Schizosaccharomyces pombe: one gene and its partner. The gene in region 2 interacts genetically with the main gene of each other region. Each region holds a gene or a part of one and is shown on either strand. Other genes may lie near its edges.

The links.
Region 1: of clr4 (region 2) and epe1, changing one suppresses a phenotype caused by changing the other (phenotypic suppression), as found in Schizosaccharomyces pombe (7 studies listed by BioGRID, with this or other methods).

Annotation. Positions count from the first base shown.
Region 1 is NC_003421.2:1,430,548-1,438,441, reverse strand, and holds epe1 (Jmjc domain-containing protein Epe1), read left to right. Parts: upstream 1-3,400; 5' UTR 3,401-3,896; coding exon 3,897-6,743; 3' UTR 6,744-7,394; downstream 7,395-7,894. Other genes in the region: histone demethylase Jmj4, read right to left, coding at 43-67; rpl6 (60S ribosomal protein eL6), read right to left, coding at 702-1,289; apn1 (AP endonuclease, minor transcript), read right to left, coding at 1,793-2,519, 2,592-2,846, 3,107-3,170, 3,261-3,264; SPOM_SPCC622.15C (uncharacterized protein), read left to right, coding at 7,663-7,894. UniProt on the Schizosaccharomyces pombe protein: May be a histone demethylase that specifically demethylates 'Lys-36' of histone H3, thereby playing a central role in histone code. Represses transcriptional silencing by negatively affecting heterochromatin stability.
Region 2 is NC_003423.3:453,050-461,581, reverse strand, and holds clr4 (histone lysine H3-K9 methyltransferase (Suv39) Clr4), read left to right. Parts: upstream 1-3,171; 5' UTR 3,172-3,534; coding exon 3,535-5,007; 3' UTR 5,008-5,269; coding exon of another isoform or gene 5,270-6,580; 3' UTR 6,581-6,637; coding exon of another isoform or gene 6,638-6,914; 3' UTR 6,915-6,984; coding exon of another isoform or gene 6,985-7,352; 3' UTR 7,353-7,586; downstream 7,587-8,532. Other genes in the region: SPOM_SPBC428.10 (uncharacterized protein), read right to left, coding at 1-558; pleckstrin homology domain protein Meu6, read right to left, coding at 5,270-6,580, 6,638-6,914, 6,985-7,352. UniProt on the Schizosaccharomyces pombe protein: Histone methyltransferase which contributes to the establishment of heterochromatin by specifically methylating histone H3 to form H3K9me. Part of the Clr4 methyltransferase complex (ClrC).

The sequences.
Region 1 (7,894 bases), on a different chromosome or scaffold from region 2:
TGCTTTCGTTAGCTCAGAGCAATGAGTCCTAATTTCTCTTACCTTTATAGGTTGATAATTCACTCATAATAAGTTGCTATCGCTCTGCTAACGACCATTTGAGAAATTTGCCTTTTATATGGCCGCTCAAAACGGAAATTGCTTTTCTATTGAAAATTGATGATCACAAATATTTATTTTGGGATAGTATTAATGCACTAAAAGAAAGTTATGTGCATACAAGAAAATTTAGCACAGACTTGAACTTGAATTGGATACAAGTTGTGAATGAAATAACGGCGTCTACAACATTTCCAAATGTAACGAAAAGCGATAACAAAGCTAAATCGCTAAACATATAGCTAACTACATTTCATATATATACTGGGCAACCAACAAACCACAGTTATATAGTTATTATACACCAAATTACATATACAAGAATCAGATCTGCTTCAGCGAAATGATATCAAATGCATACATTATACTACACTCTGAAGTCAATATGCTTTAACAATCAAAAAAATATGTTCAGTAACTACTTGCCAATTTTATAAAAATTTTAGATACATATGTGCAGTGCACTGCTCTTCTACTTAGCGCATGCATAACCAACTCGATGGAATCTTACAAGGGCCGGAAATGCCAAAGTTTCAATAAATAAGAAGTCCCGCAAGTGCCAACACAAAGATAGATTTACCTATTTACCTAAGGTTATGAATCTAAAACTTCATCAAGTGAGGACGGTCACCGTTAGACAAAGCGAAGGAAGCAGCGAGGTATTCCTTCATATTAGGGATAGCCTTGATAGCAGGGAGAAGCTTAGCATCAACGGCCTTTTGGTCAGCAATACGCTCAGCGGGAAGAGCGTTCTTGGGAGCGTTCTCGGCGAAGAAAGCTTCATCCTTCTTGACGGGTCCGCTACGCTTTTGCTTGGCAAAGTAAGCCTTGGTGAACTTCTCAACAGAGACACCGGAGACATCGATCTTGGGGGCAGAGGTAGCAATCACATAACGGTGGTTGACACGACGGATAGGGACACCGTTGACCTTGTAAGGGCCAGTAACGACAAGAGTGTCCTCCAATTGACTGAGGACAACAACACGCTTACCACGGAAGCGTCCAGCCAACAAAATGCAAACAGTTCCGGGTGCTAAAGAAGCACGGAGCTTGGTAGGGCGTACAGCCTTACGAGCCTTCTTGGGGACGTTTTCACGGTAGGCAGGATAGTATTTAGCGGCGGCCTCGCCGGCAGGCAACACCATACGTTCTCCGCCGTTCTTAGCTCCGTTGACCTTGACTGTAGACATCTTTTTATGCTTGGAGTTTTTGGGTGGTGTAGAGATTCTTCTAACATAAAATGAGAAATTTAGTGACTCCCAAAAAGAACAGTCACATGTTGTGTTAGCACTTTAGGGTAGGGCAAGGACGAAAGTTAGAGCAGTCCAGCACTGAACAGCGTTGCTCATGGGAAATGGTAAAATGATAAAATTATAAGTAATGTATCGTTATATGATTAAAAATTCCGTATTCCAGTGTTCGAAGAATATGGATATAATTGAAACAAAAAGATGCCTTTAAAGTAGTCAATTGAGCCGAAGTTGCTTTCGATAATAATTCCTGAATCAAATGATAAATACTGCAAAATAGGCAGTGTAAAAATGAAGAAACTGAGAACGTCATTTGTGCCAAAACATAATATAGTGGATAAAGGCAATAATAAAATGCTGGGAATGCAATTCATGAATCAAATTTTAGGATTTTTAAATCGTACCCTTGATTTATCTTTCATTAAATTGCATGTTACATGAATTTATTCATCCAAGCTCTTAACTTCTGCATTTCCAAGCTTTTGCTTTTTTCTGAGTAACAAAGTAGTTTGATCGCCATCCTTGCTTTTTTTCTTTCTATCCTTCTTTGCTTCTTTTTTTTCAAATTTATTCAAATGCTCCTTCCGGGATGCTGCTCCTAAATTGGACAAACGCGCTGATTCTTTCATTAATTCGACATCATCTGATGATTTACCTACCATAAATCGTAAAAGTTCAACCTCTTTCTTCCATTGCTCTGGAGATTTGGCAGGAGTCTCCAAAACTAATGGGATCCCATCCCACCGTGAATCATTCATTATTAGTCGAAAAGGCTCTAATCCTAAAAATCCTAAACCAATGTTTTCATGCAAATCACGATTGCTACCAAGAGGAGCCTTGGAATCATTTAAGTGCCATCCAGACACGTATTTGGCTCCAACCTTTTCGTCAAACTCGTCAATAACTTTTTTGTAGCTCTCTTCGGTGCGAATATCGTAGCCTGCAGCAAATGTATGACAGGTGTCCAAGCAAACCCTCCAACGGTCTAAGTTCTTAATCTTTGACTTTAAAGCTGCAAAGTCATCAAAGGTCCCTCCCAGACAATTTCCCTGACCAGCCATGTTCTCTGTAACTATAATAACGCTTTTGGTCTCTTCGTGCGCACGATTGATGCATTCTGCTAAGTTGTTGATTCCTTCTTCCTTTGTACACGAAGCAGTACTACCAGGACTACAAAGATCAAAAGAGTTAGTACGTTTTGGGTAAAATATAAGTAAATAGAGCACACTATGAATGACATACTGAAAATTGTACAAACCAACACCAAGTCTTTCACAGCGCTTCAGGTCGTCGACAAAGCAATTGAATGCCTGTTCTCTTTTCTGCTCATCGGCATTGGCCATGTTAATCAGATAGCTTCCATGGACAAGAACCTGTTTGCTCGCATCGAATTTCATTTCGGATGCTGTCTCCAAGAATTTTTGAGCAACATCCTCCGATAAATCCGGAGAGGTCCATTTTCTTTGTGATTTTACAAAAAAAGCACAACTATTGGCACTGATATAAAATTTCGTTAGCAGATAAGCTTTGTTTATTGCACACATCAGTCACCTCCTTCAAAATTATGTGAGAAAAGTTTATAGCATAAGCTATGGTTTTTGAAAACGACAAATAGACGTACCATCAGCAAATCCTCTAACAATTTGCTAATAACTACTAGTGAATCAGTTTGCAAGTCGCAATAATGCACGATTACGCCAAGCCTAACGTACACTTTCTCAACATATTCAAGCTGATTGCTTTAAGAATATACTTACTTGATATTTTTCATATTGATTAGAGCGTTAAAAACGCCCCCAGCTGCAGAAATATGCGCGCCTACTAATTTTCATGCAACCTCCATAGCTTCCTCAGAATCCTCTTGTTTAAGGTCCTTTTCAGGAGAACTTTCTTTAATTTCTTCTTCTTGACTCATCAAGTATGCTTTTGAAGAAATGTTTAGAAAGACGCAACTATATACCTAGCAAGTGTGTAAATACTCGGTTTAAGTAACAAAAAGTAACATTTTCCTAACACTTAGACCTAGCGTCTGTAATTGTAATATCGCGTGCGTAGTACCAACATTTAATTACTATTCAAAAATTCTGGGTAGTTTGTAACTCAACTCTACGGAAGCTTTAGAATTGGCTCATCTTTCCAAAGCTGCACAATAGAAGTGCGCTTGTGCTAAATCGTATAAAAGAGACACGCAAGCTTATGGAGTGGACGTTTTGAAGTCTATGGATTACTGCTTATTTATAATTGATATTATTTCGTTTCTTGAACAAAGCTTCAGGTTGAATTAGAGGATCATCATTATTGTTGACTGAGAGTTCGGTTTTATTGGCATTTTGAAGAAAAAGTTAGACTCAAATCTAACGAGTTTGCCTGCTTTTTTTTGGATACTTATCATTTCTGTTATTATATGTAATGCTATATTACTAGTCACTAGCAGTTTTAAACTCATTTTTTTTTTCAAAGAACACAGCCATAGAATCTCCTTAGTTTGCATCGCAATTTTATAGTTACCTTTTTGCTAGTAAGCAATTAATTTTTGGGACTTTTAAGATGGATTCCTGGCTTGAATACGATGACATTATAAATCAAGACATTGATATTCCTAGCAATGACCTGAGTGGTTCAGGCACTCTCTGCGTTGGTGTACACTCTTCCCTTTTAGAAAACTCTTTAAACTCAATAGACTCGTTTATTTCTTCGAAAGAGGAAATTTCATGGTGCGGAAACCAGTCAACTCCTATTGCGACAAAATCACATTTATCCTGCATAAACCCTCAATACGTCAATCCTTTTGATACTTCACCTGTCTCGGTAGATACAGAATTTCAGGATACATATTTGCTTGATGCACCTTCCTTTGCACAGCCTCACTTCAGTGAGAGACAATCTGTAGACAAAACAAGATCACGATGCCTTAGTCGTAATCGTCGTCGAAAAAGACATCCCAATCTTCATAAAAACCATCAAAGATTACTTGGCATGTCTTTTCCACAAGACGGCTTTCGTCGTATGCCTGCCGAAAGTGTAAATTTTAGTTATTTTAGGGATACTGGATTTAATGAACCCACAATATTTCCTTCGTCTGATACACAAAATACGCGGCAACTAAATCTGAGTAAAATCGCTACTTTAATTGGTTATGATTGTCCGCTCGCCCTTGTGGATGTTGTGACACAAAAACAAATTCCAAATAAAATGGACATGGAAAGTTGGGTAAAGTACATGAGCCTCGAGCCCAGCAAACGTGGTCGAATATACGACGTCTTGAGCTTAGAGGTTTCTACAACAAAACTTGCCTATTACGTCCGGAAGCCTAACATCGTTCGTGATCTCGATTTGGTTAATACTGTCTGGCCTCCTGGTTCCTTTGCGTTGGGTGAGTATCCCCATGTTGATACTTACTGCTTAATGTCAGCGGAAAACTCGTATACTGAATTCCATATTGAATTTGGTGGATCCTCAGCTTACTACAATATTCTAGACGGATGTAAGATATTTTACCTTATTCCAGGAACATCTAAGAATTGGGAAGCTTATACAGCCTGGCTAACATCTTCAAATGACAGCGACAAAAAGTTTCTACCCAATATGGTTGATGTATGCTACTGCGTCGAAGTTCATTCGCAGCAAACAATTTTGGTTCCTTCAGGATGGATTTATGCCGTTGTGACACCTTGTGATACAATTTCTATTGCTGGTAATTTCTTAACGTTCCTTCATATCTATCCCCAGTTGTCAATCTACAATCTTGAGCTACAATTGGGAATTGAAAAAGAGTATCAGTATCCATATTTCGAGAGCATAATGTGGTACACAGCTATACATTTTTACCTTGCGTTCCCAGATAATTCGAGTCGTGATGGAATTGATGATATAATTGCTGAATATGAAACTGGTAGATTGTTTGATATCAATGCGTTTACAGAACAAGAATTGGATGGATTTGAAGAATTGCTTAATTATCTTTATATTCGTGCGCAGATTTTACGAGATTGCGATATAATTATAGACATTTATAATGAACCCGTAAAAATATCAAAAAATAATGGCTATAACTCAGCATATACGATGGTACCTCCGGATTTGGATGAGATTTGTGTTGACTTTGTACAAAAGTTTGGCGCCTGGATTACTTACCATCATAGACGTAGCGCTAAACACCCATCTTGCAATTGTTTTTCACACCTACAAACGAAGCTTATAGATTCGGGGCCTAAACCTGCAAATAACTCTTATCAGCATCAGTCTAATTTCATTGGCGTTGTGATTTCAACTAATCATAATATCATTAAGAAATGTCAAGAATCTCAAATACAAACAGGAAAGAATAATTGCTCTTTTCAGTTAGTAAAAAAGAGGATTAAGAGTACTAAAAAGGCACCCAGCTGGCGCTCGATAATTAAGGCTTTCAAGAAGCGAGAAAATACTAGGTGTAATTTTCTGTCAAGTTTACATGCAACTACGTTTCGTGAGGACATTGTCGTTCGTCCTAAAATCAAGTCATTCGTTCTCGAACAGTTGATCTTTCAGGCGTTGTTTTCATTTGCTATCAATTGGACACCAAGCTTCTTTTTGAATCACTCCAATTTTGAGAATATTGCGTTGAGTAAAGAAACGTTTAACTTTGGAGGTGAAGCCAATTGCGAAAATACGGACACCACATTATTTACTACTTGGGGCGATCAAGGTTTTAGACCAAGTGATTCTATTTGCTATAACGACTTTAATTTATTGGAAACGGCGAATTCTGATGCTGAAGCTTCAATACATGAACTCGAACTTCAACCGCTGAATGCAGTGAATGAAAGAGAGGTTGATATATCGCAAACCGACATGACTCCATCCACGGCGTTAGACACTAGGGTAGACACTAGGGTAGACTCTTTACCAGAATTTTCAAACTTGATACTTTCGCCCTCAAGCAATGACGACAGTTTTCAACTTGACGACTTGTTGTCCCCCTCTTCATCAAATCTCAAACAACAGATTCAAAAAGTCGTTCCTCAAAATTCCCTAGAATTTTCTGTTGGTGAGAAAGAAAAAAAGGCAGCCGAATATAGCCTGCTTCATACGTTTTCTTACAAACGACTCTCTATGGAAAATGAGAAACCAGATACTACAAAGGTACCTTTAAAATATAACATACAACATGAAGAAATGAAAGCGTATCGAAGAAAAAATGATTTAGAATATATAGATCAGCACTTTGCAAGCTCTAAGAGTGGAATTTCGAATGGGAGGAATAATAATAAAGAGGTCAACTTAACAAAAGCTGAAAATGTCGGCATCAAAAAACGTCGAATCATGAAAAATGAAAATAACATTTATGATTTTGAAGATCACTCTCCTGTTAGGGAAAAATGGGGGCACAGGCTTCGGTCCAGAGGTGCTAGTTAAAGTACCTCGGCACTTTTTATTTCCTTCGGCTACCATTGAATATTTATCCCCACGTGCTTATGATTCTTGAGTAGTTCACATTTTATGAGTATATCATGAAGGTTTCATCAAATAATTAAGACTCTTTTTTTTTCTATTAATTGGGTTTTTATTTATAAAACGATTAAGAGCATCAATCCACTTTGACTCGTTGTTTGCTTTTAAACTACGATCGTCCTAAAATGATTTATGGACTACATAACACACAATGGAGTCATTGAAAGCGTGGACATCCCCATGAAGCGGCGCAGGGACACTCAACCTGAACGGATTGTATCAAAGCCGGATACTACAACACACTTTTTAATATGAATGTCTCCTATTGGCGTCGTCTCGTCTACTTTATCCATCTCAGCTGATGCAACGACGCTTCAGGGTTTTCCATCCAAATCCCAATTTACCAGCCTTACTTTTTTATAATGTGCTAATATTGTTGAATTGTGCTCAAATATGTACATATACTACCCGATATAATGATTCTATAAATACTCTTTTTCTGTTTTTTTTTTTGGAACTCATATAAATAAATAATCCGGCGATCTAACTACAAGCCACGTTTCTATTAATCTAATCGGTCGTTTCATCTTTGAATATTATTTAATTAATTTATTTTCCTATTTTAATTGTTAATACTACTAGAAACAATGGTAATATTCTAGATTTCTATTATCTTAAGATTTCCGCATTGCAACCTGCTAAGTAATCTTATCAATGCGTTAGAACGCGTAATGTTATTTTACATTTTACGGTCCGCAAGCTAAAGCATGCACTATGTATTCATTGCCATACGCGAGCAATGTACCCGGCCTTAACAATACAGTAGACGGATATTGGAATTCAAGCGGAATTGAATATTTCTGCTTTGAATTGACTTAAAATAATGAATGAAGATGAAACTTCAATTTTAAATAAGAAAATGGAGAAAATTGAGGTAGAAATGGCGGAATTTGAACGATTGGGCGCTGAAAGAGAGAAGGAGGCGGTCGAAAGAATTGTTCAAGAGGAAAATCAAAATCCTGAAGTTCCATCGAACGATGACGCGTCCACAGATATTAAATCGCGAAAAGAAGGAAATATGAAAGTCACCGCCGAGGAAATTGGTTTGGAGACTG
Region 2 (8,532 bases):
ATCCCCCTTCAACCTAAGTTTATATGTGATTTTTCCAATCAATTTAAGCTTATCCATAGAAGAAAAATCTCTTTTTAAAGGCTCCAGTCCTTCCGGCAGATAGAAAACTTCTTGTGTAGCAAAAGTCACGATCGTTTTCCAAGTAGAACCCGGGAACGACCTATAGGTATCCAAAGCAGTTAATTTATCCTTCTTGGAGAAATCCTTTGTAAAAAATTTAACTTTGGAAATTTCAGTGGGAAACAGATCAGGAAATCTGTCAAAGATGAGAGCCATTCTATTCAGGAAAGCGAGGTAATATTCAAGTTGTACATGTAGCGAGCCTTTCGGAGGGTTATAAATGCATTGCTTGTGAATCATATCAATCAATATGGGCGTAGAAGTGTAGTATTTGTCCAAGAAATGTATCAGTGTTGCAGGGAACCATCGCGCATACAAAAGCAGCAAAATAGTCGAGCTTGGGCTTAAATTGTTGTACAAATCCTTGTAAGATTCCTCGATATCTTCATTTATATGAGATGCATGCGCATCATTATAATGTGAAGATTTTCTTTTCATTGTGTTCAACCAACCTTACGCGCGCGCCTTATTTCCGAATGTTGTTTACGTCTCACAAAACAAGTCAACGTGACAATTGGCCTACAAAGTAATGGTAGTTGTCCAAAATTTTGTAATTATATATTCTTCAAAAGTAGATTCTTCCAATTTCCCAAATCCGTCCCTCCACGATGGAGTTGGTAAATGGAAAAGCTATGTATTTCATTACAACCTATACATCGTATCCATGACCTCATGGGCTAGTTTAGGATACGAACGCTGGAATGCGCCAAAATCGCTTAGTGAAATTGAAGCCAACATCCTTAATTTAAAAGGCTTGAATTGGCTCAAATATGCATATAAACGGTGCTGCTTCTCAATCCTAATTAAACAATTATTTGTAATTCAATTTATATTTTATCAATTTCTCTTCATTGGGAACAAGACCTGATACTTCTTTTGTTTTCTGATCCTAAAAAAACGGGAAACTGCGACTGGTTTTCCAGTCCTCGATTTCTCCGAATTGTATCTTAGACGAGAAATTCTCTCATAAATTCTTGGAAAAGCAGCTGTGTAATTTTACACGCACTGTCAAAACCGATTTGGTCGTAGAACTACTCGTTCGCTCCGTTATAAACAAAAGAAAGTATATAGCGTATGTTGGCGGAAATCTTATAAAATTATATAAAAATACATGTGTTATTTATAAAATACGATATCAGTTAAAAATAAAAACTAATTCGCATGTAAATAATAACGAAAACCCCTGTTTTCTGCGTATATATATATATTTTTTTTTTCAATTGAAAGACTATCAAATACATGTCAAGATTTTTCTTCTAATAACTTGGAGAAGGAATCTTGTTGAAAAGATACTATTTATTTTGAACGGGTTAACTCTCATTTGTTTGATATCTATGGACTTTGCTCATGCACATCGTACAAAGCCGTTTATATGGTAATGCTTTAACTAAACGAAATTAATCTCTTTTTTCCAAAGATGCTAAAGAACTTTTATTTATTTTCACATTCGTTCGGCAAGTAGGTAATTTCCGTCATAATTCTATAAGAGGCGAATATGCAATTGTTAATATATTTACATCTTGTCCTTTCACACTTCAAATAATAAATAATAAAGCAAGATTAAAAGCAAGAAATACAATTGAAAAATCGTAAATATATACAGAGATTTTGTCTTCGGTATGGCCTATTCCACATTGAAAATTTCGCAACCCGGTATGGTGGCTACAATATTAGTTACATTCAAAGTGTATTTGTTGAATCTTTTGTGCACAGTATATGGATCTGAAATTTCATTCTCATTCACTAGAGGCATCATTGGTAATATTGAATCCCTGGCATGTTATATTGGGCTTTGTTTTTTTGTTTATGGTATGAAGGGATAGGATTAAAGGCTTCGTTCAAAAAATATATCTAATGTACAGTAGGTATTCTGCAATCAAATTTTGAGTTTGTAGTCTGGTGAATTTATCGCACCATCTAATTGAGATCGACAATTATCAAGGGAGCTTTCACATAGAGTATTAAGAAGCACTAGAGATATGGGTCAAAGCATGTATGGTTTTTTGTTTTCTTTATTCATTTTTTCAAAGTTTAAATTTAAATGGAACTTTTTAAGGCATGTTGGCACCACCGATTTGCAATTCAAAATTGAACCAAATTAGCAACATTTTGGATTGGCTACTGTTAATCAACCTTTAGAGCCTGCAGAAAATTTATCCAGAAATGGAGTACATGACTTCTCCATTGTCATTCAAAATTAACAAGCGAAAAAACCAAATACCAACATGTGCTTCTAGAATGGGTTATGGGTTATCGCGTTCTGAAAGTTGGCTGGAGACTCAATCTTTTTTAATTGACCTTGTTTATCTAATGAGCTCAAGTTTAACCATTATTAAAAAATGAATGCTCGAATGCAAAGGTATTTGGTTCCTTACTTTATTAATTTTGCGAGAAGCTTGTTTATAGGCATTCTTTGTACCGAAATCAAAACCCGATAGTCAAATATAATAGTTTTTAATCATTATAAAAATGGCGATGCGACTAATTGTGTAAAAAGTTTTTCTATGGACAATCTTACTGTTGTTTCATTTCTTTTATTATTATAGAGCAATTGAACATACTATTGTTTTTTAAAAACGCTCAACTTTCTTATTTAGACACAGATGGGTTAGACTCCGTGCTGCACACTGATACAAAGTCAGCTACGCAGTTTGGTATCTGCTTTAACGATAACATAGAACTGCGGTAATTTTTCCTTGTTAACGTATTACAATACACAGGTATTACAAGTAGCAATTGAGTATAGGTATTAAATTATCTAGATTGCATTGTGACCTATAACTAATATAGCTTATAACTGAAGTTCATTCCTCAGTTCAGTTGCAGCTCAATTTATAATCTTTTTAGTCTTCATTAGCCAGCGTCTATGTAAATATGAAAATGGTTTTGCGCATTTATCAATAAACTGCTCTAAAGTAATATCCTAACATATGACATATAGTGATACGTTACGTGTTCTTCATTAGAGCAGTGTGTTGTTAACACCGTATTTCCTTTACGGGGCGATTCTCCGTTTCTTTAAATTTTGACTTCTGTAAAGGAGTGCGATTCAACAACCTGGTCGAAATACAAACTGTTATAACATGAATTGGCATTGCTAGTTTGGATTGTTGTTTGAAAGTTGATTTGTATATTATAACTTTAAAATTACTTTGTACTTGATACCTTTTTCAAATTTCAGAGCTTCAATTTTGCTCTGAAATTGAACACATCGACTTTATATATTTATTGCTCATTACTAAAAAACATTCAGTTTTATATTCTGAGTTCGCGGTCGTCTATTATTTTAGTCCTTTAGCAATTGTCATATTAACATAAACCCTCTCCTTATTTTATTTTTTAAATTCGTTCAGGCATCATTTGGAGGGTTTGCTAAAAATCATCTCACCAAACAAGAGGTTATTAGTTTTGCGAATGTCGCCTAAACAAGAGGAGTATGAAGTTGAAAGGATTGTGGACGAAAAATTGGATCGTAATGGAGCTGTCAAACTATATCGCATTCGATGGTTGAACTATTCATCTAGAAGTGATACTTGGGAGCCCCCTGAGAACCTTTCTGGATGTTCTGCCGTTTTAGCAGAATGGAAAAGGCGGAAGAGGAGACTAAAGGGAAGTAACTCCGACTCGGATTCACCGCACCATGCGAGCAATCCACATCCAAACAGTAGACAAAAGCACCAACATCAAACTTCAAAGTCAGTGCCTCGTTCTCAAAGATTTTCGCGGGAATTGAATGTAAAAAAGGAAAATAAAAAGGTTTTTTCTTCTCAAACTACCAAGAGACAATCTCGAAAACAATCCACCGCTCTGACGACGAATGATACTAGTATCATTTTAGACGATAGTCTTCATACAAATTCAAAGAAGCTGGGGAAGACGAGAAATGAAGTGAAGGAGGAATCTCAAAAAAGAGAACTAGTTTCCAATTCTATTAAAGAAGCTACATCCCCCAAAACATCTTCAATTCTCACAAAACCGCGAAACCCTTCCAAACTTGACTCTTATACCCATCTAAGTTTTTACGAAAAGAGAGAGCTATTTCGTAAGAAACTGCGGGAAATTGAAGGACCCGAAGTAACGCTTGTCAATGAAGTTGACGATGAACCCTGTCCATCTTTAGATTTTCAATTCATTAGCCAGTACCGCTTAACACAAGGTGTTATCCCGCCTGATCCAAATTTTCAATCTGGATGCAATTGCTCGTCCCTTGGCGGTTGTGACCTTAACAATCCTTCTCGTTGTGAGTGTTTAGATGATTTGGATGAGCCAACTCATTTTGCCTATGATGCACAGGGGCGGGTCCGTGCAGATACGGGTGCCGTTATATATGAATGCAACTCTTTTTGTTCTTGTTCAATGGAGTGTCCTAATCGCGTTGTTCAACGTGGTAGAACTCTTCCGCTTGAAATATTTAAAACAAAAGAAAAAGGATGGGGTGTACGTTCGCTTCGATTTGCCCCTGCTGGCACGTTTATCACTTGCTATTTAGGAGAAGTCATAACTTCAGCAGAGGCCGCCAAGCGTGACAAAAATTATGACGACGACGGTATTACCTATTTATTTGATTTAGACATGTTTGATGATGCTAGCGAGTATACAGTGGATGCTCAGAACTATGGAGATGTCTCTCGTTTTTTTAACCACTCCTGTTCACCTAATATAGCTATTTATTCTGCTGTTCGGAACCATGGATTTCGAACCATTTATGATCTCGCTTTTTTTGCCATCAAAGACATTCAGCCTCTAGAGGAGCTTACATTTGATTACGCTGGTGCAAAAGATTTCTCACCTGTTCAATCTCAAAAATCTCAGCAAAATAGAATTTCAAAACTTCGCCGGCAGTGCAAATGTGGTTCCGCTAATTGTCGTGGCTGGCTTTTCGGTTAAGCTAATTTATTACTGGTTGACTCCAATAATTACAATTTGTTTTTCTCCATTACTGTTAAACTGAAAAAGGTCATTCATTTTCTAAGCAACGAGATTATGTATATTATCTGACCTGTGGGATTTGCCGAACAATTATCGGTAAAACATATCGGTGCTTATATTTTTTACACTTGTTGAAAGCATTATAGTAATTGTTGTAAAGCCTAGCGTTAATGGAAAAACTCTTTTCATCTGCTGCGCACATGTGAAGTAAAAAGGGCGTTTAAGCGTTAACGGTAATGGACCGTCCTTCAGAAGCTATAGAAGGAGCTGCTTCTGTTTCGAGCACCTGGGGCATCTGATTGTTTTCTCCTTCTGCTGAGGCGAGGGCATCAGTTGTTTCTTCAGCTGGGTCTTCTTGTGCAGCTGTTCGAGGCGTTGGAGTTGTTGTAGGAGTTAAGGGAGTTTCCGGTTTTATTGTGGTTTTTGAGAACTGGGAAATTTCTTTTAGTCTCCCGTCTTTATCAAACTTCTTATGCACTTTTTTTTGCACCAAACCTGAGAGCTTCTTTGAAAGGTTGGAAGGAAATATCTCAAATCCTGCCTTAGCAAATTCAAGGGAAGGATCTGCCTGTAAAGTTTTAACACTTTTGGTAGGTTTAGCATACTTGTGAAGCTTAAAGCCGAATACTCTCTTGTTGCCTCCTTTTTTCTTCTTATGATGCCGATGATGCTTTTTTCCGGCTTTCTTAGACGTTCTATCTTCATTGCTGACAACACTCTCTTCATTAGTAGCTGCAGTGGAAGGGTCTTGATCGTCTGCAGTAGGGGTCGCAACATCGGGAAGTGCTATATCAGGAAGTGCAATATCAGTCTCTTCTATGAAAGCTTGTTCAACTGATTGGGCTGTACCTTTAACATCTTCTTCAATGGCGTCTGCTATTTGACCGATGGGGGTTCCGTTATCATTTTGAGTAGAAGCTTGCTCAACATTTTGAGTTGATGTTGATTCTTCTGCCGGACCTGTGGCTGGTTTTTCTTCTGATGCGGGAGCCACTTCTTCCGTAGTAGCAGGAAAATGTTCTTCAGTGGTGGGAATTTGGTTAGTTTCATTCTCAGGAACTTCGACTGATTGTGCTTCAACAGTAGTATCAACCGGGTCAGCTGACGTTTCATTATCAATGGGACTAGCCGTATCGTTTTGCGGAGTTTTCCCCTTAATCATGTTTTGAAAAAAGTCAAAAAGACCGTCTTTGGCAACAGAATTGTTTTGTTTTCCGCCATGAGATTTACTAGATGACTTTTTCGCGTCCCGTCCGTTAGAAAGCATTGGAAGGAAATAACGAAATGTTTCACTTGCTGAAGGACCTGAACGAGCTGCTAACTTGCCGAGTCTTTTAAGCGTGTCATTGTAAGCACGAAGCTCTTTAATTTTATCTTTGGTTTCCTTTTTCTTAGCAATGGCATTTTTGAGATCAGTAATCCATGTATTTTTACTTTCTGGGTCTAGGGCTTCAAGTGTTTCTGATTTACCATTGTTAAAATTGATGGTGAATTTGTTTCCAGTACCGGGTTCTATGGATACTGCATCAGTCTGAAAATACAGTTAGCACGGTTAAAACTAAAAATCAGGGGAATTAGGAATTCTTACCAAATTAATGATTCCGCTTGGGACACTAGTTGATTGAGATTTGGAGTAAAAGAGTAAACCACGGCAGTCTTGAGTAGCTTTAGCGATACGGTTAAGGTGATCATTAGCAGACTGGAAGAGGGAATCAGCATCAGAGTCGTGCATTTGCTCAGAAGCTAAGGAAGGTTCCGTTGGGTTACCTTGCAAAGTACCATGGAAGTGTTTTTTATAATAATGGTCTAATAAATCCATAGACATAGGGCCTTCTAGCATATAAAAATACCTTTTCATGACATGACTACATGTGGTTAGTAAGATTACTCAATCGATTGTTTGATTTTTAATAAATGGATGCTGTTTTGACTTACGGAATAAGTCCGTTGGATCGACAGTATAAATACCCACCAGTGGTGTAGGTCAATGGTTTTTCATCCTTGGCTTTCTTCTTGGATTTTTTTTCTTCAACCTTGGGAGCTGCCACGCTGTTTGGATCATCATCTGCAGGATCGATATTGTCGACTGTTTCAGGCTCCTTGGGTTCCTCAGGTGCTTGTACTTCTGCAGGAACAGCGTTTTCAGTGGCATCATCATTGTCGGTTTCGTTGCTCAATGGCACCTCCAGTGTCTCCACCTGGGCCTCAGCAGATCCCGAATCATGTTCATTGTGTTCCGACACATTTTCGAAAGTAGGTTCAGCAATCTGCTCAGGTCGTTCTTCACGGCCCTCATAAGACATGATAAGAAGTCGAAAACAACAGTTAGGCTCTCAATTTTGGATTTTTTTTATGCTGTAAATATTTGTGGTAGAGGAAAAGTCTGCGCCAAGCTGGTTATTTGAATACCAATTGTTGGCGAGAATGTAAACAAACAAATCGACTACCTAATATACAAACAAACGATGGACATCAATAGAAAAGGGAAAATACATAGAATTTACTTTTTAAATGTTAAAAAATTTCTACTAATTCATTCTTATTAATAAAATCTTCAACGGCCATTAAATCTTGTATTCGCTCATTCGTATCAAAACATATACATTCTTCTGGAATCGAGCTGTCTGCGATTGAATGAACTATATAGTATTGAGAGATTTTACAATTAAGTGTTTGTCTTTAATTTCTAATTGCGACTACCATCCTAAAATTTTCATTTGAGTTGAAATCTGTTTAACAACAACAGATGAGCCATATTTTTCATTGACTTTATACATGATTGTCACCATTAGTTCCTTTTTTTATAAAAATTAAATGTTGTTTAACTATTCTGCTCATTTGTTTTGCTTAAAAACTAAGTAGGTTTTAATTGGTAAGAATTTTACGAGATTTTAAATTTTTATTTATTTACTTATTATTTTTGACGAACGCTAGTTTCAAAAAAGCAAATCCAAACTCGAGGTATTTTCAAATTGTTTAAAATTTTCAATAGAATGGAAGGATGTTTTTTAATGCTTTCCACATCTTTGAATTGGAAATTTCCTTTTAATATTTACACTTCTTCCAAGAAAACTATAGCAATTTGTTTCATTATAACGACATAAGTTTGTAGGAGAAAAAGTGTGAGAATATAAAAGTTCCATAATAATACATTATTCTCTATGGATTAATTATTTTTTTTAAATATTTTTTTAAGTTAAAAAGCTGGTCTTTCCATCCATGTAAAAATTGGAAAAGGAATATCGAGAAAGCAAAATAAACCAGGCCCTACCTGCGGAAAGGGATTTTTCTTATTATTCAAGAATACTAGCAGCTTACCTCTAACGATTAAAACAATGTATATTTTTGTTTCAATACTATTTATTTATAAATTGAATAAGTAACCCAACTTACGCCAGGTTATTTTCGCATTTTATGTAAACGCTATAATGCGATAGAAATCGCTAATTTGTACTGGATTGAGTAAGTATGAATATCTGACGT